Macaca mulatta: one gene and its partners. The protein of the gene in region 1 interacts with the protein of each later gene in a biochemical or structural test. Links are inferred from orthologs where the notes say so. Each region holds a gene or a part of one and is shown on either strand. Other genes may lie near its edges.

What was found.
Region 2: the proteins of APOE (region 1) and LDLR interact in a biophysical measurement, tested with the Homo sapiens proteins (2 studies listed by IntAct). The link is inferred for Macaca mulatta from reciprocal best matches to the Homo sapiens genes APOE and LDLR.
Region 3: the proteins of APOE (region 1) and SNCA form a complex in vitro, tested with the Homo sapiens proteins (2 studies listed by BioGRID and IntAct). The link is inferred for Macaca mulatta from reciprocal best matches to the Homo sapiens genes APOE and SNCA.
Region 4: the proteins of APOE (region 1) and LRP8 form a complex in vitro, tested with the Homo sapiens proteins (2 studies listed by BioGRID). The link is inferred for Macaca mulatta from reciprocal best matches to the Homo sapiens genes APOE and LRP8.
Region 5: the proteins of APOE (region 1) and MAPT form a complex in vitro, tested with the Homo sapiens proteins (2 studies listed by BioGRID, with this or other methods). The link is inferred for Macaca mulatta from reciprocal best matches to the Homo sapiens genes APOE and MAPT.

Annotation. Positions count from the first base shown.
Region 1 is NC_133424.1:57,410,132-57,416,563, reverse strand, and holds APOE (apolipoprotein E), read right to left. Parts: upstream 4,431-6,432; 5' UTR 4,178-4,430; intron 3,614-4,177; 5' UTR 3,591-3,613; coding exon 3,548-3,590; intron 2,106-3,547; coding exon 1,913-2,105; intron 1,295-1,912; coding exon 577-1,294; 3' UTR 433-576; downstream 1-432. UniProt on the Homo sapiens protein: APOE is an apolipoprotein, a protein associating with lipid particles, that mainly functions in lipoprotein-mediated lipid transport between organs via the plasma and interstitial fluids.
Region 2 is NC_133424.1:11,836,639-11,842,614, forward strand, and holds part of LDLR (low-density lipoprotein receptor), read left to right. Parts: intron 1-781; coding exon 782-904; intron 905-3,219; coding exon 3,220-3,600; intron 3,601-4,537; coding exon 4,538-4,660; intron 4,661-5,686; coding exon 5,687-5,809; intron 5,810-5,976.
Region 3 is NC_133410.1:99,152,889-99,159,435, forward strand, and holds the start of SNCA (alpha-synuclein), read right to left. Parts: upstream 4,465-6,547; 5' UTR 4,276-4,464; intron 3,632-4,275; exon of another isoform or gene 3,566-3,631; intron 3,333-3,565; exon of another isoform or gene 3,129-3,332; intron 2,957-3,128; exon of another isoform or gene 2,912-2,956; intron 2,429-2,911; exon of another isoform or gene 2,295-2,428; intron 1,861-2,294; 5' UTR 1,836-1,860; coding exon 1,715-1,835; intron 1-1,714. UniProt on the Homo sapiens protein: Neuronal protein that plays several roles in synaptic activity such as regulation of synaptic vesicle trafficking and subsequent neurotransmitter release.
Region 4 is NC_133406.1:187,353,673-187,359,648, reverse strand, and holds part of LRP8 (low-density lipoprotein receptor-related protein 8), read right to left. Parts: intron 1,814-5,976; coding exon 1,641-1,813; intron 510-1,640; coding exon 333-509; intron 1-332. UniProt on the Homo sapiens protein: Cell surface receptor for Reelin (RELN) and apolipoprotein E (apoE)-containing ligands. LRP8 participates in transmitting the extracellular Reelin signal to intracellular signaling processes, by binding to DAB1 on its cytoplasmic tail.
Region 5 is NC_133421.1:70,921,238-70,927,213, forward strand, and holds part of MAPT (microtubule-associated protein tau), read left to right. Parts: intron 1-3,927; coding exon 3,928-4,143; 3' UTR 4,144-5,083; coding exon of another isoform or gene 5,084-5,155; 3' UTR 5,156-5,976. UniProt on the Homo sapiens protein: Promotes microtubule assembly and stability, and might be involved in the establishment and maintenance of neuronal polarity.

The DNA of each region.
Region 1 (6,432 bases):
GGGGCAGAGGCCAGGCACAGTGGCTCAGGCCTGTAATCTCAGCCCTTTGGGAGGCCGGTGGGTGGGTCACTTAGTCAGGAGTTTGAGACCAGCCTGGCCAACATGGTGAAAGCTTGTCTCTACTAAAAATACAAAAATTAGCTGGATGTGGTGGCATGAGCCTGTAATCCTAGCTATTGAGGCAGGAGAATCGCTTGAACCCAAGAGGCAGAGGTTGCAGTGAGCCAAGATCACGCCACTGCACTCCAGCCTGGGTGACAGAGCCAGACTCCATCTTAAAAAAAAAAAAAAAAAAAAAAAAGGCAGAGAGAAAGATACAGACACGCAAACACAGACAGAGAGGAGGGGGCTGAGAACTGTGTGGCCAGTGTGCGGGCAGAAAGAGAAACTGAGGCTGGGGCTTAGAGGAAATCACACAGGGAGGCCAGCAGATGCGGTGAAACTTGGCGAATCTTTATTAAACTAGGGCCCACCCCTGGAGGACGGCTGGGGCGGGGACAGGGTCTCCCGCTGCAGGCTGAGCGGAGAGAGGAGGCATGGGGTGGAGTCGGGTCGCATGGCTGTAGGCCTGGGCGTTCAGTGATTGTCGCTGGGCACAGGGGCGGTGCTGGCGCCCACGGCAGCCTGCACCTTCTCCACCAGCCCAGCCCACTGGCGCTGCATATCTTCCACCAGGGGCTCGAACCAGCTCTTGAGGCGGGCCTGGAAGGCCTCGGCCTGCAGGCTTATCTGCTGGGCCTGTTCCTCCAGCTTGGCGCGCACCTCCGCCACCTGCTCCTTCACCTCGTCCAGGCGGTCGCGGGTCCGGCTGCCCATCTCCTCCATCCGTGCGCGAAGCCGCTCACCCAAGGCCTGGGCCCGCTCCTGAAGCGGCTGGCTGGCCAGGGAGCCCACAGTGGCGGCCCGCACGCGGCCCTGCTCCACCAGGGGTCCCAGGCGCTCGCGGATGGCGCTGACCCCGCGCTCGGCGCCCTCGCGGGCCCCGGCCTGATACACTGCCAGGCGCTTCTGCAGGTCATCAGCATCGCGGAGGAGCCGCTTGCGCAGCTTGCGCAGGTGGGAGGCGAGGCGCGCCCGCAGCTCCTCGGTACTCTGGCCCAGCATGGCCTGCACCTCGCTGCGGTACTGCACCAGGCGGCTGCGCACGTCCTCCATGTCGGCACCCAGCCGGGCCTGCGCCGCCTGCAGCTCCTTGGACAGCCGTGCCCGCGTCTCCTCCGCCACCGGGCTCAGCTGTTCCTCCAGTTCCGATTTGTAGGCCTTCAACTCCTTCATGGTCTCATCCATCAGCGTCCTGCAGCCGAAAGAGCAGGAGGGTGTGCGCACAGGGGGAGGCGAGAAGGGCTGGGATAGGTGTGGGTGAGATGGGGATCAGCCAGAGAGACCCGAGAAGGAAGAGAGGAGAGTCTCCTAAGGAGAACAGGGAGAGACAGAAGGGCAGTGAACCAAGAGAGAAGGAACGGGACAGAGGCAGAGAGGAGACAAAGACAGACGCAGAGAGCAGAGGCAGAGACGAAGAAAGAGCTAGGAGGCCGGGCAAGGTGGCTCATGTCTTTATTCCCAGCACTTTGGGAGGCGAGGTGGGAGGATCGCTTGAGCCCAGAAGTTCAAGACCAGCCTGGGCAACACAGTGAGACCCCATCTCTCTGTCTCTATATAAAAGAGCTAGTGAAGGACAGAGACAGAGCCAGGACGAGTGTGAGAGGCTGAGTCAGAAGGGAAGAGGGAGAAACAGAACTGAGAGAGAGAATTCCAGAGAGCTAAAGCCAGGAGTCAGAAATGGGAAGAGGAAGCTAGAACCAGCAGAGACCCAGGACTCCCAAGACTTAGTGGCAGGGGCAGAATGAAACCTGGACCTGGGGAGGTATAGCCGCCCACCAGAAGGGTCAAGGGCCGGGATGGGGACACTCACGTCAGTTCCTGGGTGACCTGGGGGCTGAGCAGCTCCTCCTGCACCTGCTCAGACAGTGTCTGCACCCAGCGCAGGTAATCCCAAAAGCGACCCAGTGCCAGCTCCCAGGGCTGGCCGCTCTGCCCCTCAGCCTGCTGGCGAAGCTCGGGTTCCGTCTCTGGCTCCACCGGTTGCTCCACCTTGGCCTGGCATCCTGTGTGGAACAAGTTGAAGGTGGTTCAGGTTCCTTCTGACCCCGTCCAGGCACCTAGTACCTAGGGGCACACAGAAGGTGCTCCACAAATGCTGCTTTGGAGCCATGGTGGGCAGGGTGAGGGGGGAGTCTGTTTAATCACTTGAAAAGCGTTATTTATTTACAGACAGGGTCTTGCTCTGTCACCCAGGCTGGATTGCAGTGGCCTGAACATGGTTCACTGCAACCTTGACCTTCTGGGCTCAAGCAATCCTCCTGCCTCAGCCTCCTGAGTAGCTGGGACCACAGGTGTGTGGCACCAGGCCTGGCTAATTTTTGTATTTTTAGTAGAGACAGAGTCTCACTATGTTGCCGAGTCTGGTGTTGAACTCCTGGGCTCAAGTGATCCTCCCACCTTGGCCTCCCAAAATGCTGGGATTACAGGGGTGAGCCACCGTGCCTAGCGGAAAAGCATGTATTGAGTGTCCTTGTGTGTCCCAGGCAGGGCTGTGTGGGGTGATGGAGAATAAAGATCACAGCTGTCCCGTGTCTGGTATTCTAATGCAATGCATTAGAAGCCTCTTAACTCCCAGCTGGGCGCGGTGGCCCATGCCTGTAATCCCAGCACTTTGGGAGGTTGAAGCAGGCAGATCACCTGAGGTCAGGAGTTCCAGACCAGCCTGGCCAACATGGTGAAACCCCGTCTCTACTAAAAATACAAAAAAAGTTAGTCAGGTGTGGTGGCATGTTCCTGTAGTCCCAGCTACTCCGGAGGCTGAGGCAGGAGAATGGCATGAACCTGGGAGGGGGAGCTTGCAGTGAGCTGAGATCCTGCCACTGAACTGCAGCCTGGGAGCCACCGCACTCCAGCCTGGGCGACAGAGGGACTTCATCTCAAAACAAAACAAAAACAAAAACTTCTAACTCCTATATTAAGGATGGGGAGGCCGGGCGCGGTGGCTCACGCCTGTAATTCCAGCACTTTGGGAGGCCAAGGCGGGCAGATCACGAGGTCAGGAGATAGAGACCATCCTGGATAATACAGTGAAACCCCTTCTCTACTCAAAGTACAAAAAATTAGCCGGGCATGGTGGCGGGCGCCTGTAGTCCCAGCTACTCGGGAGGCTGAGGCGGGAGAATAGCGTGAACCCGGGAGGCGGAGCTTGCAGTGAGCTGAGATTGTGCCACTGCACTCCAGCCGGGGCGACAGAGTGAGACTCTGGCTCAAAAAAAAAAAAAAAAAAAAAAAAAGCGGGGGCAGGAAACCGAGGCTCACAGAGCGTCAAATCGCTGTTCTGAGCCAGAAAGCAGCATAGAAGCCTCAGACCTGGGCTTTCCCCTCAAGGGGAAGACAGACCAGCAGAAGAAGAGGGGGCCCGAGGTCTGCCTGAATGGGGCCAGGAGGTTGAGGTGAGGATGAGAGGGGGAGGAGCAGGGAAACCGAGCAAGCCCCGCCCCCATACCTGCCAGGAATGTGACCAGCAACGCAGCCCACAGAACCTTCATCTTCCTGCCTGTGATTGGCCAGTCTGGGGAGGGAGAAACAGTCAATCAACCGCCAGTAAGGACTCCTCCCACTCCCAGCCCGACCCCAACCCGGCCCCACCCCAGGTTAGCCTTCCAAGCCTAGTTCCATTATCTGCAACAGCCTAATCCTAGCACAAACAGTTACCAAGCCGCCCCCAACCCATTCCCTATTTAACTCCCTCCTGGTCTTCTCTTATTTCCCCATCCCCAGGTCGGCCTCCATAGTCAAAATTCCATCTTTCTCTCCCGGGGTTCAAATTCCACACCCCCTCCCCCTCCCCACCGCCGGTTCCATCTCAGTCCCAGTCTCGCATTCCTCATTCTCCCTTCACATTCTAAGCTCTAACCTCACATTTAAGCGCCGTTTTCCATTTATGAGCTAATTCAGTCCTCATTTTAAAGTTCTCCAATCGACGGCTAGCTACCGTGTCGCTGCCCCTGGCTTCCCTGTTATGGAGATCTGAGGACACTGGGGACACCCAGTAGGTGCTCGATAAATGACAGTGACAACTCGTGGGGGTCCTGCTGTGGCTTAGCTCCTAGTCCACATGCTCTGCCCACCCCACCTTCTAGCGGGTCGGGTCGTCTCTGCTGCCCAGCCCTTACCAGGTCCAGTCCCCTGCTGCTGGCCTCACCCCCGCTCCTCCTATCCCCAAGCCCGACCTCGAGTAGCTCTCCTGAGACTACCTGGAGGCCAGGGCTTCCCGAGGTCCCAGCTACATCTTTCTAGAGGCCCCTGAGCTCATCCCCGTGCCCCCGACTGCGCTTCTCACCGGCTCCTGGGGAAGAACGTCCTTCACCTCCGCTGGGGCTGAGTAGGACTCAAGGATCCCAGACTTGTCCAATTATAGGGCTCCCCCTGTCCCGCCCCCTCCTCCAGGGATAGGGCGGGCTGGGCCAGCCCCCAGTCACGAGGTGGGCTGTTCTCCCCCTGCCCCAGGCACAGCAGGGCAGAGGGAGGAGGTGGGGCATAGAGGCCTTTTGACCACCCCCCACAGTCCCCAGGAAGTGAGGACACCTCGCCCAGTAATCCAGACACCCTCCTCCATTCTGGGGGCCAAGCGTCGAAGGGGAATGTGCAGGCTGCCGCCCAGAGTCCTCCTTCCCTGACCCTGTCCTTTCCTGTGCCTGGATGAATGCAATCTGGAGAGGGGGCTGGGGATCTGGACTCCTGGATCCCAGAAAGAAAGTAGGGATAGGGGGCTGGACAGAAGTGGGATGGGAGGGGCTGGGCGCGGTAGCTCACGCCTGTAATCCCAGCACTTTGGGAGGCCACGGTGGGCGGAACACTTAAGGTCAGGAGTTTGAGACCGGCCTGGCCAACATGGTGAAACCCCATCACTACTAAAAATACAAAAATTAGCCAGGCGTGGTGGCGGGCGCATGTAATCCTAGCTACTTGGGAGGCTGAGGCAGGAGAATCACTTGAACCCGGGAGGTGGAAGTTACAGTGAGCCGAAGTCTCGCCACTGCACTCCAGCCTGAGCAAGAGTGATGCTTTCTAAAAAGAAAAACAAAAAAAGAAAAAGAAAAAAGAAAAGAAAGTGGTGCTAGGCGACTGGACAGAAGTGGGATGGGAGGGGGGTGGGAACAGTGTGGTGCATCTGCTAAAAGTCTAGGCTTTGCGAGTGGGACCTGGGTTTTAATCATAGCTTCCTCTTTGGTTGTGACCTTGAGCACAGGGGACCCACCCCTCCCCACGTGTAAAATGAGATTCCAGCACCTCCCCCTGGCTGCCACAGGCATTGTGGTTTCCAGGGTCTTGAAGCTGTGCTTCTGGGTTAAGGTTAGGATTCTGGAGTCAAACTGCCAGGGCTTGAATCCTGACTCTGCCAGTTGCCAGCTGTGTGACCTTGGGCAAATGACTTGTCCTCTCTGAGCATCGGGTTCCTTTGCTCATCAGACTGGGAAAGCAGTGACACGGATATGTTTGGTGACAAGCTAACGTGTATGGAGCACGGAGGACAGCCTTGGCACAGTGGTCCTGTTAGGGCTAGCAATGGACAGGCCGCAGTGAGCGCTCAGATGCTGTCTTTTTCCTAACAGCCCTGTTATAAATCCCAGATGTTTCAGAGGAGAAACCCGTGGTTCAGCAGCGAGATGAATGGCAAAGTCACACATCGAGAACTGGAGTGGGTGGGATCAGAGGATTCTGCGAGTCAGGGGAGGCTGGACTCCTGGTCCCGGGAAGGAACCCCCAGTGCCAGGCCGGGCCTGTTTGCTTTGGCTGGCAGGGGGTGGCTGAGGTGGCTTCTGTGGGTAACTTGGGGTCAGCTCTACTCAGCAGCCTCCCTCCCTAGACCCTGGGGGTAGACAGGGTTTCAGTTCCCGGAGGCTCGGGAGTGGTGCTGGTGGTGTTGGGTGTCAGCTGACACCAGCCCTAGGTTGGCAAAATCCAGACAGCACCACATCCTCAGACATAGGTGACCCAACCCCCATGGCTGCACAAGGAGCCTAGTCTGGCCTAGGCCCCTCCTCTCATGCCTGCAAGTCCTTGAGCCCCTTCTTCCCGACACAGCAGTTCCTAGTACCCTAGTTGTTCTGAAGCTGTTCCAGTAGCTTGAACCTTCTCCCAGCTCCCTGCCCCCCCATGTCTGCACTCAGAGTGTGTCATCTCTGCTGCTGCAGTTTGCAGGGACAAAGTCTTCTATAGCCACTCCGGCCAGGTCAAGCTGGGGCGAGTGACCTTGAGACCCTACCCTCGGACGACAGAAGGCCCGAGGTGTCCCCCAGCAGGGAAGATGTTCCGGATGGGGAGACCGCGATCCCGGGCCACGCTGCGCCCCTCTGAGCCGGACTCAATGCAGCGTCAAGCCAGGCA
Region 2 (5,976 bases), about 46 Mb from region 1:
AAAAAAAAAAAAAAAAAACTTCATCTCTACTTAAAAAAAAAAAAAGTGGGATTGGCATTCTCTTCAAAGTTCTGGGGTTTTCCTTTGCAAAGAGAGAATTGGCGAGGCCAGTGGGTCTTTTGTTTTTTTTTTTTTTTGAGACGGAGTCTCGCTCTGTCGCCCAGGCTGGAGTGCAGTGGCCGGATCTCAGCTCACTGCAAGCTCCGCCTCCCGGGTTCACGCCATTCTCCTGCCTCAGCCTCCTCAGTAGCTGGGACTACAGGCGCCCGCCACCTCGCCCGGCTAGTTTTTTTTTTGTATTTTTTAGTAGAGACGGGGTTTCACCGTGTTAGCCAGGATGGTCTCAATCTCCTGACCTTGTGATCCGCCTGTCTCAGCCTCCCAAAGTGCTGGGATTACAGGCTTGAGCCACCGCGCCCGGCCGTCTTTTTTTTTCTGTCTTGTGACGGAGTCTCACTCTGCCACCCAGGCTGGAGTGCAGTGGTGGGATCTCGGCTCACTGCAACCTCCGCCTCCTGGGTTCAAGTGATTCTCCCGCCTCAGCCTCCCAAGTAGCTGGGACTACAGGCATCCACCACCACGCCCAGCTAATTTTTGTATTTTTAGTCGAGACGGGGTTTCACCATGTTGACATGTTGACCAGGCTGGTCTTGAATCCCTGACTTCAGGTGATCTACCCGCCTTGGCCTCCCAAAGTGCTAGGATTACAGGCGTGAGCCACTGTGCTCAGCCTCAGTGGGTCTTTGCTTTGAGTGACAGGTCAATCCTGTCTCTTCTATAGTGTCTGTCACCTGCAAATCCGGGGACTTCAGCTGCGGGGGCCGTGTCAACCGCTGCATTCCTCAGTTCTGGAGGTGTGATGGCGAAGTGGACTGTGAGAACGGATCAGATGAGCAAGACTGTCGTAAGTGTGGCCCTGCCTTTACTATTGAGCCCATCTGGGTCCTGGGGAGTGGTCTGACTGTCTCTACAGGGTCCTGCTTAAGCTGCAAGGCAGCTGCCCTGAACTGGGCTCCATCTCTTGGGGGCTCATACCAAGCCTCTTCTGCCCCTCAAATCCCTCCCTGACCAGGAGGCATTACAGACCAGGGATAGTGCCACCTCTTCGGTTTGTCGCGCACAGTCAGGGACACCATCCCTGCCGAGGGCTGGCCACCTGGCACACACACTGGCAAGCCACTGTGATCCCCAGTGGCCGTGATCCCCGCCCCGTGAGGCTGAACACATAGTGACACTTGCTAGCCACGCCTCAATGACCCAGGTAACGTGAAGGGGAAAAAGCTAGAAAGTTCTGCCAAGGAGGAAGGCCAAGAATCCCAAAGGGAAATGGGCTTTGGAGCTGGGCATCTTCTTGGCTGTCTTAATACAAGTGGCATATCCCAAATCCAAAAACCCGAAATTCAAAGTCTTGAGCACCCAAAATTCTGAAACGTCTTGAGCACTGACATTTAGAAGAGAATGCTTATTGGAGCATTTTGGATTTCGAATTTTTACCATTAAATGTGGAGTCCTAATTAGGAAAAAGCCAGGCTGGTCAAACCAAGGGAAAGCAATAAAAGAAGGCAGATAGAGTCGAGTGCAGTGGCTCACGCCTGTAATCCCAACCCTTTGAGAGGCTGAGGCGGGTGAATCACTTGAGGTCAGGAGTTCAAGACCATCTTGGCCAACATGGTGAAACCCCGTCTCTACTAAAAATACAAAAATTAGCCAGGCATGGTGGTGTGTGCCTGTAATCCCAGCTACTCGGGAGGCTGAGACAGGAGAATCACTTGAACCTGGGAGGCAGAGGTTGCAGTAAGCCAAGATCACACCATTGCACTCCAGCCTGGGGGACAAGAGTGAAAATCTATATCAAAAAAAAAAAAAAAGAAGGCTGGGCATGGTGGCTCATGCCTGTAATCCCAGCACTTTGGGAGGCCGAGGTGGGTGGATCAGGAGGTCAGGAGATCAAGACCATCCTGGCTAACACGGTGAAACCCCTTCTCTACTAAAAATACAAAAAATTAGCTGGGTGTGGTGGCGGGTGTCTGTAGTCCCAGCTACTCGGGAGGCTGAGGCAGGAGAATGGTGTGAATCCAGGAGGTGGAGCTTGCAGTGAACCGAGATGGCACCACTGCACTCCAGACTGGGCAACACAGCGAGACACCGTCTCAAAAAAAAAAGAAGGCAGATAAACTATATAAGTCTGCCTTTCTTCATGGTCCAGAACACATAGCTCTCCTGTGTAAATAACTCCCAATCTTCCTGTGCCCAGGTATCAGCAGACACGTTGGCTGATAGAAAATTGCAGGTTAGCGCACTGCAACCTTGGCATCATAGGGACTGCACAACGCCCCCTTCAGCGCACAGCACAAGCACCATTCTATAAAATCTCCAGCCAGCAGCCGGGTGCGGTGGCTCACACCTGTAATCCCAGCACTTTGGGAGGCTGAGGCGGGCTGATCATCTGAGGTCAGGAGTTTGAGACCAGCCTGGCCACAATCATAAAACCCTGTCCCTACTAAAAATACACAAAAATTATCCAGGCATAGTGGCAGGTGCCTGTAGTCCCAGCTACTTGGAAGACTGAGGCAGGAGAATCGCTTGAACCTGGGAGGTGGAGGTTGCGGTGAGCTAAGACCGTGCCATCACACTCCAGCCTGGGGGACAAGAGTGAGACGACTTCTCAAAAAAAAAAAAAAATCCCCAGCAAGCCTTTGTCTCCTGGCAGTCAGCTCCTCCCTTGCTGACCTGCTCATTGCTTTCTTGCAAGGTATTTTCCTACTTTCTCGAATAAATCTGCGTTTCTTTACCTACAGCTGCCTTTTTTTTTTTTTTTCTTCAATTTTTTGAGACCGAGTCTCACTCTGTTGCCCAGGCTGGAGTTCAGTGGTGCAGTCTCGGCTCACTGCACCACTGGTCCCAAGCATTTTAGAGAAGTGATACTCAACCCAAAATAAGGACAGGAATTCTATAAATGGTGCCACCGTCTTGCAGTTCTCAGTTTAACAGCTTTACACCTATTAACGCACCAGTCCTCAGAGCAGTGCTGGGAGATGTGTACAGATGAGGAAACTGAGGCACTGAGAGGGCAGTGGTTCAGAGTCCATGGCCCCTGACTGCTCCCCAGCCCGCCTCTCCAGGCGCCTGGCGTTTCTGTGGCAGCGTCCCCGGCTATAGAATGGGCTAGTGTTGGGAGACTTCACGGTGACGGTGGTCACGGCCCATCCATCCCTGCAGCCCCCAAGACGTGCTCCCAGGACGAGTTTCGCTGCCACGATGGGAAATGCATCTACCGGCAGTTCGTCTGTGACTCAGACCGGGACTGCTTGGACGGCTCGGACGAGGCCTCCTGCCCGGTGCTTACCTGCGGCCCTGCCAGCTTCCAGTGTAACAGCTCCACCTGCATCCCCCAGCTGTGGGCCTGCGACAACGACCCCGACTGCGAAGATGGCTCGGATGAGTGGCCTCAGCACTGTCAGGGTCTTGAAGTGCCCAAAAGGGACAGTAGCCCCTGCTCGGCCTTCGAGTTCCACTGTCGAAGTGGCGAGTGCATCCACTCTGGCTGGCGCTGTGATGGAGGCCCCGACTGCAAGGACAAGTCTGACGAGGAGAATTGCCGTAAGGACAGGGGCGGGGCCTGGGGCGGGAGCGGGGCGTCCTATCACCTGTCCCTGGGCTCCCCCGGGTGTGGGACATGCGATGATTTAGGTGCTGAAGTGGATTTCGAACAACATGCCAAGAAAGTGGTTCCCATTTCATGTTTTTTTCTTTTTTTGAGGTGGAGTCTCACTCTGATTTTTTTCGTCTCTAAATTTCCTGCATCCATGAGGCCCCAGGTGATGGTTCCTGTTGGCTTATTGGGAAGTCACTGTTTGGAAGGTGCTGGTTGTTTTTTGTTGTTTGTTTTTGTTTTGAGACGGAGTTTCGCTCTTGTTGCTCAGGCTGCAGTGCAATGGCGCGATCTCGGCTCACTGCAATCTCTGCTTCCCAGGTATAAGTGTTTCTCCTGTCTCAGCCTCCCAAGTAGTTTGGATTACAGGCATGCACCACCACGTCCAGCTATTTTTTGTTGTATTTAGTAGAGATGGGGTTTCACCATGGTAGTCAGGCTGGTCGCAAACTCTTGACCTCAGATGATCCATCTGCCTTAGCCTCCCAAAGTGCTGGGATTATAGGCGTGCACTGCCGCATCCAGCCTCTTTTTTTTTTTTTTTTTTTTTTTTGAGACGGAGTCTCGCTCTGTTGCCCAGGCTGGAGTGCAGTGGCCGGATCTCGGCTCACTGCAAGCTTCGCCTCCTGGGTTTACGCCATTCTCCTGCCTCAACCTCCCGAGTAGCTGGGACTACAGGCGCCCGCCACCTCGCCTGGCTAGTTTTTTGTATTTTTTAGTAGAGACGGGGTTTCACCGTGTTAGCCAAGATGGTCTCGATCTCCTGACCTCGTGATCCGCCTGTCTCGGCCTCCCAAAGTGCTGGGATTACAGGCTTGAGCCACTGCGCCCAGCCTCTGGTTGTCTCTTCTTGAGAAAATCAACACACTCTGTCCTGTTTTCCAGCTGTGGCCACCTGTCGCCCTGATGAATTCCAGTGCTCTGATGGAACTTGCATCCATGGCAGCCGGCAGTGTGACCGGGAATATGACTGCAAGGACATGAGCGATGAAGTTGGCTGCATTAACGGTGAGCGCTGGCCATCTGCTTTCCCATCCCCCATTCTCCGTGCCTTACTGCTTGCAAATGATTTGTGAAGCCAGAGGGCACTTCCCTGGTCAACTCTGCACCAGCTGTGTGTCTGTGGGCAAGTGACCTGAGTTCCCAGAGCCTCACTTCCTTTGTTTTTAGATGGAGCCTCGCTCTGTCACCCAGGCTGGAGTAGTGTGGCACAATCACAGCTCACGGCAGCCTCTGCCTCTGGGGTTCCAGTGATTCTCCTGCCTCAGCCTCCCGAGTAGCTGAGATTCAAAGCATATGCCACCATGCCAGGCTAATTTTTTGTATTTTTATTAGAGACAGGGTTACACCATGTTGGCCAGGCTGGTCTTGAACTCCTGTCCTCAGGTGATCCACCTGCCTTGGTCTCCCAAAGTGCTGGGATTACAGGTATGAGCCACCACCCCAGGCCTCATTGTTTTGTATTTTTAGTAGAGATGCGGTTTTACCATATTGCCCAGGCTTGTCTCGAACTCCTGGGCTCAAGCGATCTGCCTGCCTCGGCCTCCCAAAGTGCTGGGATTACAGGCGCAAACCTCTGTGCCCGATGCGCTTTCTTTTTTTTTTTTTTTTTTTTTTTTTTTGAGACGGAGTCTCGCTCTGCCGCCCAGGCTGGAGTGCAGTGGCCGGATCTCAGCTCACTGCAGGCTCCGCCTCCCGGGTTCACGCAACTCTCCTGCCTCAGCCTCCCCAGTAGCTGGGACTACAGGCGCCCGCCACCTCGCCCGGCTAGTTTTTTGTATTTTTTAGTAGAGACGGGGTTTCACCGTGTCAGCCAGGATGGTCTCGATCTCCTGACCTCGTGATCCGCCCGCCTCAGCCTCCCAAAGTGCTGGGACTACAGGCTTGAGCCACCGCGCCCGGACCCGATGCGCTTTCTTAATGAGTCCATTTGCATGCGTTCTTATGTGAATAAACTATTATATGAATGAGCGCCAAGCAGACTGCAGGTCAGACACACCTGACCTTCCTCCTTCCTCTCTCTGGCTGTCACAGTGACACTCTGCGAGGGGCCCAACAAGTTCAAGTGTCACAGCGGCGAATGCATCAGCCTGGACAAAGTCTGCAACATGGCTAGAGACTGCCGGGACTGGTCAGATGAACCCATCAAGGAGTGTGGTGAGTCAGGGTGCAGGCGGCTTGCAGAGTTTGTGGGGAGCCAGGAATAGAACTGAGAAATGAGTGCTGTAGGGTTTTGGGAACTCCACGCTGCCCACCCTGTGCAAAGGGCTCCTTTTTTTTATTTTGAGACAGTCTCGCACCGTCTCCCAGGCTAGAGCACAATG
Region 3 (6,547 bases), on another chromosome or scaffold:
ACACTATTGTGTCTTTGCATGGTCATTTTTTATCTTAAATTCTGTGTATGTGTATAAGTTCAACTCTCAATTAGAACTCAGAATGTAACCAATAAATAATTTATAGAATGTGCTATGTGTTAAATGTCATGAGAGACATTGAAAATGATTTCAATGAACAGTTATAAAGTAACTGAAGTCAAAGAAACTTGTACTTGCAAAACTTGGAAATCTGAGGACAAATGGAAAGATGGATAAACTGCATGTCACTGATTCAGTATTCCAAATTCCATATAAAAAGGTATAATTCACACTTCATAAAATATTTAAAATTAACTCATACATTTTTTCCTCTTGTAACACTCTATTTTAATGACTTTCTGAAAATATGTTTTAAGGTAGAAAAAAGTAATTTCACTGAAGATTTGTGGGAAGATTAAGTCAACATAAGAAAAGTCTAAATAATGAGGCAGTGGCACATGCCTATAATCCTGGCTACTCAGGAGGCTGAGGTGGGAGCATGACTTGAGCCCAGGAATTCAAGGCTGCGGTAAGCTATGATAGCATCACTGCAGTTCAGCCTGGGCGACAGAGCAAGACCCTGACTCTAAAAATTGAAAATAGAAAACAGAAAAAAAAAATGTGTTGTGAAATTTGATGAGACGCATTCATATAACTCATTCCAAATATAAAATTTTCCCCACTGATCTATCTTGAAGAGATAATGTAGCTTTCTTTCGCTTTGCAGACATAGACGGAGCATGTGTTTCAGCTAGGCAACTCAATGTGCTCATCCTCCACCTGACGGTTCATCCTGTGACTCTAACTGCTTATAGTTGCCACCAGAGAATGTGAAAAAGCTCAGAGGAGAAAGAAGAGAGGAAGAATGGGCAATGTGTCTATGTTGAGTGTGTGTGTGTGTCTGTGTCTATGCCTGTGGATGAGAGCGTGTGTGTCTATTCTTTTCCAAAGAATTCAAAGTGGTTTGTAAAATAACATGCAATTGAACACAATTCAAGATACAGAAAAGAGAGTCAGAGCTTGGGTGTATACCCCAAGGTGGAACTTTAGGAACAAGTAGGTAATAAGCATCAATTTCTTTATTCTTTCAGTATGTTTGTCATTTGATGGATGAACTGTATCAATGTTTCTGAGAGGTCAGTAGCAGCCCTCAAGCACTTTTCTCTGTCCTCAGTGTTCAGAGAGACCAAATGATCACATGAAGTAACTCTACCAAAGACTAATCTGTTGTTTCCATTTTAGGGCCACAAATAGGTCTCTTTATACACAGCACAGGGGCATATCAAAGTCATATTTTAAAAATCAGAATGGGTTAAAATTGACAAACATTATTCATGATGGTAAAAGAAATCACAGACCCAGCAATGATTTTGATTCTTAAGAATATTCTTGATTTTTTAAAAAGACAATGTATTTTTAAAACTGTTCTCTGAAATGTAATTATGTAGGCACAGAAGCATTCATTTTTCAAAAGTCCTAAATATTAGGGCAAAATTAAAAATATCGAAAAGGAAACAGCCGCATTTTTTACTATTAGCTCAAATACACACATTCACATTCACCTACCTACATATACCTCTGACTCAGTCCACCCTTTTGACAAGCAATGATGCAAAAATGAATCAAGAGAGAGAACTACCAGCATTTAGAGTATTGATTATCCTAACCCATCAGTCATGAACCAACACCAAAGTGACATTTGGGGTTTACCTACCTACATAGAGAACACCCTCTTTTGTCTTTCCTGCTGCTTCTGCCACACCCTGTTTGGTTTTCTCAGCAGCAGCCACAACTCCCTCCTTGGCCTTTGAAAGTCCTTTCATGAATACATCCATGGCTAATGAATTCCTTTACACCACACTGGAGAACATAAAATACACTTTGAATGAGAACTTTTGGGGGAAAATAAACAAAAAACACTGAAAAATCATGAGAAACCCTCCAAAGTGTGAGACTCTTTTAAGTGTACACTCATTTAACCATTGGACAAAGCAGACATTTTTAGCTCTGGCATTAAAAATTTAGCATCTCCCATCCATCTTGGCTAGTAAAAGTCTAGCCACCTAACCATGGATTAGGATGAATCCTCTGAGTTGTTAATACTGCATTTCAGAAGTGGAGTTGCATGAAAAGAGTCACTCCTGTTTTAACTTCCCGGGGTCTAAAGGGTAACAGTGTGAGTTAGAAGCATGGAAGCTGGAGGCTTAGGGTCTGGGGCATCCTTAACATGAATCCCAGAAGAAGGCTAACAGGTTGATGGTGGAGAGGCGTAGGCAAGAGAACTAACTACTCACTCTGGGTGTGGTTCAACCTCAGGCAAACAGCGAGCCCAAGGGTGCTGGTTCTAATACATCCGAGCATCCACCCCCGCCCTCAGATATCTACCCTGAGCAGGCGGCGCTCACACTCGCGGGCCGTCTCTAACCCTGCGCCAGCCACCCGAGGGGGCGTTCTCAGCATCCACCCTAGCGGACCCCGCGCCAGCACTTGTTAACCCTTTACCACCTGTTGACTTGGCCTCCCTGCACTTCCATTTCATTATTTGCCAAAGGCAGCTTGCTTACTTTACAGAGAAAAACCAAGAGAGCGGGCAGACGGATTTCAGGTAAGAGAGAAATAAAAGTTGGATGCTTACGCTCCAGGGAGCATCCTCGCGTTTCCCGGGGAAAAGCGGATCCCGGAGACGCATCCTAATCTCTCAGCCCTTGGGGAGAAGCCCTTGACAGGACGAAAGCCAGGTCAAGTCTCTTTCCTTAGGCTCCCCAAAGGGACAAGTACTCACCTCCCAGAGACCTGGCACAGCAGGTCCTCACCGCAGCACCACCCCCTCCTGGTGCCCACGACCATTCCTCTCCCACCCGGCTTTCTCCAGGATTTCCAAAGACGCCCGTTTAGATCCACAGGTACTTACCTGTGTCCCTCTGCTTCTCCACAACTCCGATTCCTCCCTACCTCTCTTTAAAAAAAAAAAAAATTAAACAATTCCCAAATAATATTTAATAGGGAAGAAGGAGGAAAAGGAGCGCACAGGAAGGGCGGAGGCGGCACCGGGAGGGGGACGGTCCCCAGAGGAGGCCGCTGTGAGCCGACGACGGGAGGCTGGGGGCGTGGGAGGCAAACCCGCTAACCTGTCGTCGAATGGCCACTCCCAGTTCTCCGCTCACGAGGATGGAGAAAAAGGCAGAAGGTTTGAAGGGAAGGCGTGAGGGAGCGCTCAGGACGCTCTCGGAGGGGCCGGGCCGGGGTCTGCGCTGCAGCCCGCACGCACCTCACTCCCGCGTCGCGGCGCTCGGTCGCTCGCCCCCTCTCTCGGGCCCCTTCTGGTCGTCGCCGTCCTCCTCCTCCTCGTCCTCCTCCTTCTCCTTCTCCTCGGCTCTCCGCCCCCACCGCTGATTTGTCAGCGCCTCTCCACGCTCCCCTCCCAGCGCTCGCTGCTTTCCCTGCAGCGTGCTCTTCGTTCCCTATCTCGGATGGGGATGGGGCAGGGGGCGCAGGGTGAACCACCAATTCCAGCCGCCTGCCTGGCCGCGCAAGGCGGGAAAGTGGGGGCGCTTTTGCGCCTCACCTCAAGTTCAGGGTCACGGGCACTCTTGTGGCGATTGGGAGCGGTTGGGCTTGGGCTGACGACTCTCCCTCTTTCCCATTCCCCTCCCTTCCTGTCCCCGCCTTTCCTCCGGGTCCTCCCTGGGACCACCCCCTACCCCTCGTCAGAGTCGACCTGGGAGAGCTGAGGGCCTGAGGGTCGACCACCCAGAGCAGAGCCTATCCTTTGGGGAGACAGGCAGCGCAGGGAGGTGGCTCACACCGCACCGCCGAGAGCACTTTGCCCTCGCATCGCTGACATTTAATCACGGTCACAGGCTACGTTAAGGGTCGCTTTAGTTCAAATATCCTCAAGATTTTCGTTTGCTCTTAATCCAGGTCGAGCTCGAAAGGGTCCCGCGGGTGAATCGGAGACTACTAAGGAAGAGTTACAGGTTGAGGAGGCAGGAGGAGGCTCAGCAAATCCTCTTCCCACCCCACTATCACCATTTTCCTTTCCACCAATCAGCGCCTGCCAGACGCTGATTTTCCCATCAGCGGAACGAGGAATAAATATTCCCCAGCCGTCTAAAACAAGCGGTCCTAAGGCTTTTCGCTCTAGAAATGGGACTTACTTTGCAGACCTAAGTGCATGGTCTGGTAGACAAATCCAGCGTGATTTACCCTACCAGACCATCATATCCAATTTCTTTTTCAGCCCCTTCTGAAAGGGAGATGCTACACGCCACTCACCTTTCTGACTTCTAATTCTCGTTGCCCTCAGAATTGACATCCCCTTTTCTCTCCCCCGACCCACCACATGCACAGACACACAGACGTACACACGCGAACCTCAAGACAATTTTTGCATCGCTTAACACATTTTCACCTCTTTCAGAACTGGAAGACAGCTATTCCTGGATCACACCAGAATGGAGAAGCAAGCTCCTCCCACTAGCAGAAAGCCTTTGCTTTCTGTGCCTGGATTCCGAAGATTAGTTAAGCACTGGTGGGGGCCGGCGGGGGGGGCGGGGACAACAGCTCGTTTTTGCTGTGTTTTTTAAAAATTGTTTTTATGTTTGTAGCTAATGCTTTGTCTGATTCTTGCACTCATTTGGATTCTGAAATTTGAGTAAAATCAAATGTAAACATACAAAACAACTTTAAAACCACAAGGAATAGTAAACAAATGATTATACATGAAAGACATATAGAAGATAATGCCTATGTGTTCAGTGGAAAATAGAAAAACATGAAAGTAAGATTACAAATTTTTATTACTTAAACTCTTCCTTGAACTATTGGTCTGCCCTTTGGAAAAACAGACTTTCCATAACGCAGTAGCTCATATTAATAGTTTGTGTTTGCTTAGGACCAGAGCAAGAAGGTTGGACTTGGGAGCTAGTTTGTTGTCTGGCTTGGAGACCTTGAACAAGTTATGTTCTCCTTCTGTTTCCAGTTTTATTTTTTGTAAATGAGGAGATGAACTCAGGTGATCGCCCTATATTCAACTTTTTGTTATGGGAAATATTCAAACATACGCAAAAGTAGAAAGAATAAAGGACTCCCATGTGAATATCACCCAACTTTTACATTTTTTCTATGCATGGCATATCATGTCTCATTCATAAGTCCACTCACTTTATCACTACCAATCCTCCCTATTTTTTTTCACAAAATTCAAGCTTTATATACATCTTTTCAACTGTAAACATTCAGTATGCATCCACAAAATTTAAGAACTGTTTAAAAATAACCACAATGTCATTAGACGATTCTTTTAAATTTCAGTGTAATTTACACCTAGTGAAATGCTCAGATGTTGTGTCCCTTTAAATCAGTTTTGAAAAAACCATGCATTGGTGTAACCCACACTATTTTGAAGACACAGGACATTTTCATCACTCCAGACAGTTACCTTGCACCCTTCATGTGCATATTCTAGAATGTCATAAAAGTCTAATCACGTAGTATAAACTTTTTTATATCTGTCTGACTTCTTTTACTCAGCATAGTATTTGTGAGGTGATTCATGTCATTGCATGAATCGGTGGTTTGTTTTTTATTGCTTTTTGTTGTTTCTTTTTATTATTGTTAATAGTGTAAGTTTTCCATTGTGTCTTATTACAACTAGTACTTCAATAGGCTATTACAACAATTATTTAATATATTATTTCATATGACATATTTATAGTATAACAGTGACCTCTTTGAGACCTGGTGCTTTGAGTCAAATAGGTAAATAAAATGCGATATTTTAGGTCTCATTACCAGACCAATGTGAGATAATTATTTTTGGACAGTTGCATTTCTTATAACATTTGACATGATTCTACACTTTTATATGGTAATTTGTTAGTACTTTCGCAAAGGACTAATGTACTATGTTATTTAGTCATAACAAGCAGATAAATTACATTTTATGTAGCTTTTACAGACAGAGAACCTGAGCTCCAAGAGCTTTGGTGATAGGCTGAGATCATCTAGCTTTTTTAAGTGGCAGAACTGTGACAATTTAGCAGAAACTGTTACAGAAGGCACAATTGTCTCCTGAATTAGCGATTTCTGTCTGAAGCCTCACAGATTGGGTGTGGTAAAGGGTGAGAATGAAAAGGGTAGAACCCAGCTGTGTTAGAAATAGCCTTCAAATTTGGATGTGACAATGGAAATCAAGATGAACTTATGTTATTATAAAACAGTTCATTCATATTTAAAGTTTTGCCTTTTGTATACTGGTATTTCTCAATAGGGGGAGACGCTTTCTCACTACCCACAAAAAAAGAAAACTGTAAACTAATTTCATTGTCATTTTGAACTACAACTATATGTTTAACTTTTTTCACTCCTCAAAATGCCTTGAACACAGTAAACATCCAATGAGCTTTTAATTACAAGTAATATTGATAGTGATACTGCATATGTTCTAGATCTGTGTTCTTAAGGAGGCAAAGCTGCTCAAGTTCAAAGAAGGGAACTAGAAGTTAAAATAAAGATTTTTTTATTTTTGTTTTCATTATTGATGTAC
Region 4 (5,976 bases), on another chromosome or scaffold:
GTCAAGCAACTATTTTTTTTGGACTGGCCGAGGTTAAGGATCCTCAAGGCCGTCTGCTAACCCTCCTCATTTGCTCCATCTCATTTCCCATGTCTCCCCTTCATGAACAATTTGCCTCAGCAGCAATTCTGTCTGCTCTGCTCCAAACTTGATCGCTTTCTTCCACATGCCATTCATTGGTCTGTGACTAACCCATTTTTCTTCTTTGCTCCAACACCCAGCTTACAATTTGCAGCCTTCCCAAACCAGAAAGCCTTCTAGGATTGGCTGCGCCTGCCTTGGTTCATGCCCTCACTCACCAGCCCCTCAGACTTAGAGTGGCACTGCCCTACCTTGGACTTGACGACAGGCAGCTCGGAAAGAGGGTTCCTCGGGAGTTGGTGCAGCTGTGACCTTGGTTCCCCCGGCAAGACAAAAAGCTCCTTGAGGGCAGGGGCTGGGTCTTCCAGTTCTCTGGTCTCCCCAAGACAGGGCTCTGCCCACAGTGGGCGATCAAAGCTGCTGATTGCCTGACAGGGGGATGGCACTGTGGATGACCTCTGAGGTCACACTCAGCCCCCTGACTCTGCTGTATAACAGTGACACCTGTTGTGCCACTTCATGGTCCTCATTCCCCCAAAAAGCCATGCTGTGTTGTGCCTTTAAGCCTTTGCACATGCCTCTATCTGGAATGCCATTTCCCTCCTTCTCTCCTGGGAAAACTGCTATTAATCTTTCAAGGACATAGTCCATCTGTCACCTTCTCTGTGAGGCATTCCTTGCCTGATTCTCCAGACAGAATTCATAGCTCCCTTGTTGATGTTTCCATAGCATCTATTCAACAAATATTTGTTGGGAGTCAGCCATACTGTGCTAGACATCAGGAAAACAGATTAATCAGACAGTTCTGCCCTCAAGGATCTTAGGGTTTAGTGAGGAGACCACTGAGTAAAAGACAAGTGGACTACAGTGTGATAGGGGCTGTGAGGCAGAGAGGCCCGGAGGACTGTGGGAGAACAAAGCAAGCCAAGGATAGCTTTCTAGAAGAGGGGACTCCTGAGCTTCCACCACGGCACTCAGCACACAATTATACCACTGTATGTTAGTATCTCTAACTCCCTACCAACTTCTTGGGAGCAAGCACATTCCTTATTGACTTTTGAATACTTGATATCTAATGTGCTTGGCACATAACTGGCATACAGTATTGAAATGAATACATTTGAATTAAATGGCCACAGTTACCCTTCCAGGCCAAAGGTTCTGAAAATTTACTGAGCAGAAAGAGACATTTGGCTTTTTTACTGCCAGGAAAAGCCTCTAGGTACAAGGTGGTCCTGATACCTTTTTACCTTAACCACCTACCCCAGCATTTCTGTGTTCCCCAGGGCCTAGAACAGTGCCTGATACATGGTACGTTCTCGATAAATGTTTCAGGAAGGGAGGAAGGAGGAAGGGAAGGAGGGAGGAAAGGAAGGAAAGAAGGAAAGAAAAAAGACAGGGAGGGAGGGAAGGACAGAAGGAAGGAAGGGAGGGAGGGAAGGACAGAAGGAAGGAAGGGAGGGAAGAAAGGATGGGAAGGAAGAAAGGATGGGAGGAGAAGAAAGGATGGAAGGGAAGATGGTCAGAAGGTAGGAATTCTCCCAGTGAGAAATACTTACTGCAGGATAGACATGGCCAATCTGAGCAGTCCTCCCTATATGGAGCTCATCTTCATCTTCTTCTTCTGTTGTTTTCCTGTAGACTGGGTTGTCAAAATTCATGCTTTTGGTGTTCTTCCGCTTCCAGTTTCTCCAGATCAGGTATCCACTCATGCACAGCAGGGCTATCACCACTGGAGGAAGGACACAGGAGATTGGACCTCCAGCAGGCTCCAGCCCACTGCTCAGACATCAGTGCAAGGCTTGTCACCACTCCACCTTTCCTGCCCCTTGCTCCTCAGGCTCTGTTTCTGCATGTTCTTTTTCTGCTGTTTGAAAGCCCATCTCTCATCCCTTCTTTCCCTTATTAACTATTCATCCTTAAAGATCCTGCTCAAATGTGAAGTCTTCCCCAACTGTGGGCAGAGGCAGTTGCTCTCTCATGTGTGCTCCCAGATCACACACAGTATCTTACTTTATGTATCTGTACTCCCAACTAGATAGCTCTTTCAAGGCAGGGACTGTGTCTTTTTTTTTTTTTTTTTTTTTTTAACTCTTTATGCCCAGTTCCTAGCACTGAGTAGGTGCCTAGTAACGTGCTGAATGAATGAGTGAATTTTACCACACCTTTGCCCTAATGCTGCTGCTTCCCTACATTTCTCTAAGAAAACCATTCTCTCCCAAAACTGGGGGGTGGAGAGTGGGATGGGGCCAGGTACAGTGTTTATTTCCAAAGGTGAGGCTCCACCTGAAGAAGAACATCTCTAGAAGGAGACACAGAGGGCAACATAAGCTGTGATTTAGAATAAATGAATATGTTAATGATTAAAGGAGGAAGCTCTGTCCAACAGAGCTGGGTAAAAATGGAGCAAGTAGCTCGTAAGGTGGTTAGCAGTCACTCAGTATCCCAATGGAGGCTGAATGATCACCTATCTAGGATGGTATAGAAGGGGTTTCCGTTTTAGTAAGATTACAATAATTGATATGCACTAAAGACAGAAACAAGGCAGTTACCACTGGTAATATTTATTGTCCTAGAGATCTAGCTATGCAGTAAGGCCAGAAAAACATTTAAGAGTATAAATATGGGAAAGGAGGCCAGGTACAGTGGCTCACACCTGTAATCCCAACACTTTGGGAGGCTGAGGCAGGCAGATTACTTGAGGCCAGGAGTTCGAGACAGGCCTGGCCAACATGGTGAAAACCCATTTCTACAAAAAATATAAAGTAGCTGGGCATGGTGGTGGGCACCTGTAGTCCCAGCTACTCAGAAGGCTGAGGTGGGAGGATTGCTTGAACCTGGGAGGTCGAGACTGCAGTGAGCCACAGTAGTGCCACTGCACTCCAGCCTGGGCAACAGAGGGAGACCTTATCTCAAAATAAATAAATAAATAAATAAATAAATAAATAAGAGAAAGGAGGAAACCAAACTCTTATTAACAGCTATTTATATTTTTAGGAACTCTGAACCTGGTGAAAAACTATCAGAAATAATCTTAGTTAATCAAGAATCAACATAAAAGATCATTACCTTCTTTTTTAATCAGCAAGAACCAATTGGAAAATGTAACGAAGGCCAGACATGGTGGCTTACACATGTAATACCAACATTTTGGGAGGCTGAGGCAGGAAGATTGCTTGAACCCAGGAGTTCAAGACCAGCCTGGGCAAGATGGTGAGTGAGCCCTGGTCTTTACAAAAAAAAATAATTTAAAAAATTAGCCAGGTGTGGTGGTGCATGCCTGTAGTCCCAGCTACTCTAGTCCCAGCTACTCGGGATGCTGATGTGGGAGAATCCCTTGAGCCCAGGAGTTCAAGGATGCAGTGAACTGTGATTGCACCATTGCACTCCAGCCTGGGCAAGAGTGCAAGATCTTCTTGTCTCTTAAAAAAAAAAAAAAAAAAAAAAAAAAAAAAAAAGAGAAAGAACATGTAATGGAATAAAAATAAATTCATAATAGCCCATCAAAAAGCTATAAAATATAAAATACCTAGGAAAATCTAAGAAGAAATATGCAAGTCCTATGTGATCTATAAAGTTCTGCTGAAGGACATAAAAGAAGACTGAAATAAATAGATATGCCACATTTCTGGCTGGGAAGCTTTAATATAATAAAAATGTATATTCTCCTCACATAAACTCATATATCTAAAGCAATCTTGATAATTTCACCAAAATTTTTATAGAATTGATAAGGTTATTCTGAAGTTCACTTAGAAGAGAAACTGAATAAAAATAACTGAGAAGATGTTGTGAGTGTAACATATCATGAAGTTCTGCTAATAGTATGTAGGAATATATAAATCGGTGGAGGAAGATAAACTGCTTAGACACAAATCAAAGTATGTATGGGATGTAGTTTATAATAAAGATGACAGTGCAAGTCAGGAGAGAAGTATAGATTATTCAATGATGGTTTTGGGGAAACTAGACAGGTATATAGAGAAAAAACAAGTAAATTTCTACCTCATCCCATATTCTAAAATTTAAATTCCAAATAGGTTAATATCTAAGTACTAAAAAAAGTTTAAAGTAGAAAAGAAAAACATCAGAAGATATTTTAATAATTTAGAGTGAGGCAGGCCTTCTTAAGCGAAACACAAAACCCAGAAATCTTAAAAGATTGACAGATCTGATACTTAAAAGTTTTATATTTATGCATGGCAAAAGATACCATAAACAAACTTTAAAACCAAATGTCAGACTGGAAGAAAATATTTGTAGCATGTATTTTAAAGATTTAATATTCATCATGTATAAATATTTCTATAAATAAGAAAAAATAGCCAATAGAAAAATGAGAAAAGACTGTGAGTAGGCAGTTCATAACAGATAAAATATAAGTAAAGGGACTGATAAGCTTATGAAAAGATACTCTACCTCACAGGGACGTGTCAGGGAAATAATACTCATCTTTCATTCCTCAGATTAGCAGAAATTAAAAATATTGATTATTTCAGAGTGAGTTATGTCAGCAAAACAGCATACATCTGCCTCTTTCTATAGGGCAAAGGATGGCAAGAAAGGGGTGCATTTATCTTTCTCCACTCCAGTCAAAATAATCCTGGAATAGTCATCTCACTATCATCTTTCCTGGTGAAGCCTTTCAAGGCCAATTCAAATGCCGTCTTCTCCAGAAGCGCCACTTTTACTCTGGAATTACCTTTCTTTCAACCATCCCTTCACAGGAGTATCATGCCACTGTTACATTGTTCCTCTGTATCTACATCCAAAATGCCCCTATTTTAGCACATTATGACATGTATTAACATCTACCTCAAAGGACTTTATTTTTGCCTGATTAAACACTGAAAGCTCTTAAAGTCTTTATCTTTTTCTTCCCTGGATCCTTGGCACTTGGCATAGTGTCTCACACAGGGGAGAAGTTTTTAAAACATTTGCTGACTAACTCACCATACTGAAGATTCCCAGGATAAAAGGACAAAGTTCCTGTCCTTGAAGTACTCATAGCCAAGTAAGGGAGATAAAGCTCTGAATGGACAATCAGAATGCAAAGATACTGCTAAGAGATGAGACTGCTAAGAGAGGGGTGTACAGGATACTGTGTGGACTTCGGGGTGGAAGAGAATGAATCAGCCCCCTTGATTCTCTGTGAGGGCTTAACCAAGTGTTATATTCTGGCCGTACTCATCTCCTTCTAGCTCTAAAACCACCCCACCCTGACCCTTCCAGGCCATTTCCTACTCCTGGCTTTATTCATGCTGTCTTCACTGCTTGGACTGCTCTTGATCCTCCTTCACTTGGCTGACCCAGCTCAAATATCACTTCCGTTAGGAAACCTCCTCTGCCCTCTTCCCCTCTCCCTCAGCCCAAGCTAAGTGTATCCTCAGCACTGTCTCTGAAGTCAGTGCATGCAGCTTAACCTTAGGACCCACCAGGTCATAACAAACTTACCTGTGTTATGTGGGTCTCTCCAACAAGACTATAAACTTTTATAGGACAGAACCATGTCTTATTCATCTTTAACTGCCTTTCCTCCTGTTATCACAGAGTTTGGCACATAGTAGCTGCTTAATAAATACTTGTTGAAAACCAAACAGAAAGAAAACAAGACAGTATGACCTATTAAAGGAACGGTAAGCAGCTCTATTCATTAATTCAACAAATCCTTGATTTCCTACCATGTGCCAGACATTGCTAGGAGCTGGGGAGAATGGTGAGCAAGATACCAGCCCTATTCCTAGGGATCATACAGTCACACTTCACGTGGCTGGAGTGTAGAGTGTGAATCGAGGGGTGGGGAGATGGGGGATGCACCTGGAAGGTCACCTGGGGCCAGATCCTGAAGAGCCTTGTGTGCTAGGCTAAAAAACAAAATTAAATCAGGACTGGGAG
Region 5 (5,976 bases), on another chromosome or scaffold:
TCACTTTCCAACCTTCAGGGTCTCCCAGGAGCTGACTGGGGCGTGGTAGAGGGAAAAGGATTGTATTAGTCTGTTTTCATGCTGCCGATGAAGACCTATCGGATACTGGGCAATTTACAAAAGAAAGAGGTCTGATGGAGTTACAGTTCCACGTGGCTGGGGAGGCCTCACAATCATGGCGGAAGGTGAAAGGCTTGTTTCACATGGTGGCAGACAAGAGAAGAGAGCTTGTGCAGGGGAACTCCCCTTTATAAAGCCATCAGATCTCGGGAGACTTACTATCATGAGAACAGCACTATCATGAGAACATAGGGGCAGGGAAAACCCGCCCCTACGATTCAATCCTCTCCCATCGGGTCCCTCCCACAACGTGTAGGAATTGTGGGAACTATAATTCAAGATGAGATTTGGGTGGGGTCACAGCCAAACCGTATCGGGGTGTCCCAGAAAGGGTGTGGGATCTGAGACCCAGCTCGGCGTGAGGAAGTTTGCTTCTCGAGGTGGCCCAGTCGGGTGGAAGTGGCAACCAGGCTGTCTCTCCACCAGGCCACTCAGGTGGCAGCTGAGAGACCCCTGCCCTGGTCAGTCTCCGCCCTCCCCTCTTGCCACTGCATCTGGTTCTGAACAGATGGGCACCCTCATCTTGTGTTTGTGATAAATGTCTAACCATGTAGTTTTGTGAGAAGTGTTTGCCGCAGATGCTGTAAACTGTGGCCTGGGGCAGACCTCACCTCCAGACAGGCCCTGAGGCTGGCGAGGGCACTGGTCCATAGTAGCTGGCCGAGAGCTCTCAGGTTGTGCCATGCAGGACACAGGGATACTTTTCAGTGCCTGGGTCACTATCCAAAGTGAGAAAACAGCGGGGGACCAGGAGGCTGCCCGCCTCAAGGGATGTGGGGGCCGGGCCCAGTTATCTGAGGAAGCAGTCAGCTTCTCTGCTGTTTCCACCACCCAGGCCGCCCCTGGTCTAAGGCAGGGCCTCCCAGCCTTGGGGCGCTTTAAAGATACCTGGGCCTGGCCCCGTCCCCACAGTCTGACTGAGTGGGTCGGGATAGGGGCATGGGCATTGGCGATTTCCTGGGTGAAGGGAGGCCCGCTGCAGTCTCTGGAAGCTTCTCTGTGTTAGGAAGAGCTCTGGGCTTGACTCTGCTCGGAGAGTCAAGATCCGCAAATCCTCTCAGCCTCAGTTTCTCCTTCAGCAAGATGAAATGGAAATGCTGTACCTACGTCCCAGGGTGGTTGTGAGACCCCCCCCCCCCAAAAAAAACAATGTTCTGGAAGGTTCCTGGTGCGTTGCAGTCCTCTAAGAACCTGAGTTAGAGCCATGCTGAGTCTCAGCTTCTTGGCTCCTTCTGTTTCCAACTTGTCCATGTGATGGCTCAGGAAGGTGGGCAGGGCCCTGCCCCTACTCAGAAAACATCATCCTGGTCCCAGGGATCCCCGCAGCGTTAGTCCCGTTTTCCGTGTGTTGAGAAAAATTGCTAACAAGCAGTGGGGCACACCACCAGCCTCCTGGGTTCCTTTCAGTTTGGGGATTTTTGGACATTCCCAGGAATGTCAACTTTCTCTTAAAAAACACTTCAAAAAACATTAACATAAATATTTTTATCAAAGCTTGTATTAAATGGTCTTTCAAGAAAATACAGTAACAGGCCAGGCATGGTGGCTCACGCCTGTAACCCCAGCACTTTGGGAGGCCAAGGCAGGCAGATCACCTGAAATCAGGAGTTCGACACCAGCCCGGCCAATGCAGCAGAACCCCGTCTCTACAAAAAATACAAAAATTAGCTGGGTGTGGTGGCACACACCTGTAGTCCCAGCTGCTCGGGAGGCCGAGGCAGAATTGCTTGATCCCGGGAGGTGGAGGTTGCAGTGAGCTGAGATTGCGCCACTGCACTCCAGCCTGGGTGACAAGAGTGAAACTTTGTCTAAAAAAAAAAAAAAAAGAAAAAGAAAAAGAAAATACACTAATAGAGAACAATCTGTTTTTCAAAGTAGTGACTGCAAATGAACAAAATATGCATCTAGCTTAAACGGGAGCATGGTTTTCTCTATGCCCATTCAAGCCTGCTGCAATAGGGGCCCTTCAGCCTGGATCCATGGACTCCTAAAATTATATGGAAAATGGCTGTGTGGGTGTGAGCGTGGGTGGACATGTGCACACATATTTTTGGCTTTACCAGATGCTCAAAGAGCCTAGGACCCAACAAGGGCTGAGGATAACCCTGTCGGCCGCTTCAGGGTCATCAGGAATTCCTGTGCGCTGCTCACTTCTCCAGTGAGCGCCTTCTGCGTCCGCGTTTCCTGGTATCCTTCGGGGCTCCTGGCTAGGTCATGTGTTTCTCTACTTTCTTTTTTTTTCTTTTTTTTTTTTTTGAGACGGAGTCTCGCTCTGCCACCCAGGCTGGAGTGCAGTGGCTGGATCTCAGCTCACTGCAAGCTCCGCCTCCCGGGTTCACGCCATTCTCCTGCCTCAGCCTCCCGAGTAGCTGGGACTACAGGCGCCCGCCACCTCGCCCGGCTAGTTTTTTGTATTTTTTTTTAGTAGAGACGGGGTTTCACCGTGTTAGCCAGGATGGTCTTGATCTCCTGACCTCGTGATCCGCCCATCTCGGCCTCCCAAAGTGCTGGGATTACAGGCTTGAGCCACCGCGCCCGGCCTGTTTCTCTACTTTCAAAAGGGCTTCAGCCAGGCACGGTGGCATGAGCCTGTAGTCCCAGCTGCCCGGGAGGTTCAGGTGGGAAGATTGCTTGAGCCCAGGAATTTGAGGCCAGCCTGGGCAAGTAGATAGATAGGTAGATGATAGATAGATAGGTAGATAGATAGATAGATAGATAGATAGATAGATAGATAGATGGATGTATAATAGATGGATAGATAAGTCGCTAGACAGACTCCATCCTAAATCACCCATCCACCCACCCACACATAAAAAGGCCTTTGTCATGTCATGTTTTGTGGCCCACCTGCCAGTGCTGCCCACAGTTGCTGCCCCTCCAAACTCATCAGTCACTGGCAAACAGGAGGAATGTGTGTGGCTCATGTCTGGGCATCAGTGGCTGTGGGAGACATCCTTGATCTTCTCCAGCTTCTCCTTCCACATTTTCCTTTGCAATCTGGCAATATCTATCAAAATAAAATGCGCATGCCTTTTGACCTAAGAGCTCCACTTCTAGGACACACTTACAGGTATGTGACATGATGTTCATTCAGGGTTATTTATCTGAGGTTGTTCATACACACCATTGCCTGTAATCACTAAAGGCGGGAGCAGCCTAGGCATCCATTCACAGAGGAGTAGACGCCTTTGGATACATCCGTGGTGACGGAATACTAAGCAGCCTGTGTACATATACACTCACACATGTGTTTGTTTATGTGTGGAATATCTCTGCAGGATACACAAGAAACTTAAAATGATCACTGTCTCTGGGGAGGGTACCTGGGTGCCTGGGAGGCAGGTCAGGGGAGGAGTGGGCACAGGGATTACGAATTGGAAGACAATAAAAACAACAGCTTCTGGCCAGGCACAGTGGCTCACGCCTGTAATGGCAGCACTCTGAGAGGCCGAGGCGGGCAGATTGCTTCCGCCCAAGAGTTCGAGACCAGCCTGGGCAACATAGTGAAACCCCGTTTCTATTAAAAATACAAAAAACTAGCCAGGTGTGGTGGAATGCACCTGTAATCCCAGCTACCCGGGAGGCTGAGGTGGGAGAATCACCTGAGCCTGGGAGGTTGAGGCTGCAGTGAGGTGAGATTGCACCACCTCACTCTAGCCTGGGTGATAGAGCAAGACCCTGTCTCAAAAACAAATAAACAACAGTCCCTGGCACTGTGGGCCAGGCCTGGCAGGGCAGTTGGCAGGGCTGGTCTCTCTTTCTCTGGCACTTCATCTCACCCTCCCTCCCTTCCTCTTCTCCTTGCAGATTGAAACCCACAAGCTGACCTTCCGCGAGAACGCCAAAGCCAAGACAGACCACGGGGCGGAAATCGTGTACAAGTCGCCGGTGGTGTCTGGGGACACGTCTCCACGGCACCTCAGCAATGTCTCCTCCACCGGCAGCATCGACATGGTAGACTCGCCCCAGCTCGCCACGCTAGCCGACGAGGTGTCTGCCTCCCTGGCCAAGCAGGGTTTGTGATCAGGCCCCCGGGGCGGTCAATAATCGTGGAGAGAAGAGAGAGTGAGAGTGTGGAAAAAAAAAGAATAATGACCCGGCCCCGCCCTCTGCCCCCAGCTGCTCCTCGCAGTTCGGTTAATCGGTTCATCACTTAACCGGCTTTTATCGCTCGGCTTTGGCTCGGGACTTCAAAATCAGTGATGGGAATAAGAGCAAATTGCATCTTTCCAAATTGATCGGTGGGCTAATAATAAAATATTTTTTAAAAAACATTCAAAAACATGGCCACACCCAACATTTCCTCGGGCAATTCCTTTTGATTCTTTTTTTTTCCCCCTCCATGTAGAAGAGGGAGAAGGAGAGGCTGTGAAAGCTGCTTCGGGGGGATTTCAAGAGACTGGGGGTGCCCACCGCCTCTGGCCCTGTCGTGGGGGTGTCACAGAGGCAGCGGCAGCAACAAAGGATTTGAAACTTGGTGTGTTCGTGGAGCCACAGGCAGACGATGTCAACCTTGTGTGAGTGTGACGGGTGGGGGTGGGGCGGGAGGCCATGGGGGAGGCCAAGGCAGGGGCTGGGCAGAGGGGAGAGGAAGGACGAGAAGGGGGAGTGGGAGAGGAAGCCACATGCTGGAGAGGAGATGCCCTCCTCCGCGCCACTGGGAGGGCCAAGGCCTCCGCCACCTGCAGTGTCTCAGACTGAGCGGCTGCCTGTCCTTGGTGGCCAGGGTCTGCTGCGAGTTGATGTGCCACCCTCTGCAGGGCAGCCTGTGGGAGAAGGGGCGGCGGGTAAGAAGAGAAGGCAAGCTGGCGGGAGGGTGGCACCCCGTGGATGACCTCCTTGGAAAAGACTGACCTTGATGTCGGAGGGCGCTGGCCTCTTCCTCCCTCCCTGCAGGGTAGGGGGCCTGAGCAGAGGGGCTTCCCTCTGCTCCACAGAAACCCTGTTTTATTGAGTTCTGAAGGTTGGAACTGCAGCCATGATTTTGGCCACTTTGCAGACCTGGGACTTTAGGGCTAACCAGTTCTCTTTGTAAAGACTTGTGCCTCTTGGGAGACGTCCACCCGTTTCCAAGCCTGGGCCACCGGCATCTCTGGAGTGTGCAGGGGTCTGGGAGGTGGGTCCCGAGCCCCCTGTCCTTCCCACGGCCACTGCAGTCACCCCTGTCTGCCCCACTGTGCTGTCGTCTGCCATGAGAACCCAGTCACTGCCTATACCCCTCATCACGCCACAATGTCCAAATTCCCAGCCTCACCACCCCCCTTCTCAGTAAGGACCCTGGTTGGCTGTGGGAGGCACCTACTCCATACTGAGGGTGAAATTAAGGGAAGGTAAAGTCCAGGCACAAGAGTGGGACCCCAGCCTCTCACTCTCAGTTCCACTCATCCAACTGGGTCCCTCACCACGAATCTCACGACCTGATTCGGTTCCCTGCCTCCTCCTCCCATCACAGATGTGAGCCAGGGCACTGCTCAGCTGTGACCCTCGGTGTTTCTGCCTTGTTGACATAGAGAGAGCCCTTTCCCCCCGAGAAGGCCTGGCCTCTTCCTGTGCTGAGCCCGCAGCAGGAGGCTGGGTGTCCTGGTTGTCGGTGACGGCACCAGGATGGGCGGGCAAGGCACCCAGGGCAGGCCCACAGTCCCGCTGTCCCCCACTTGCACCCCAGCTTGTGGCTGCCAGCCTCCCAGACAGCCCAGCCCGCTGCTCAGCTCCACATGTGTAGAATCAGCCCTCCACATCCCAAAAAGGGGAACACACCCCCTTCGAAATGGTTTTCTCCCCGGTCCCAGCTGGAAGCCATGCTGTCTGTTCTGCTGGAGCAGCTGAACATATACATAGATGTTGCCCTGCCCTCCC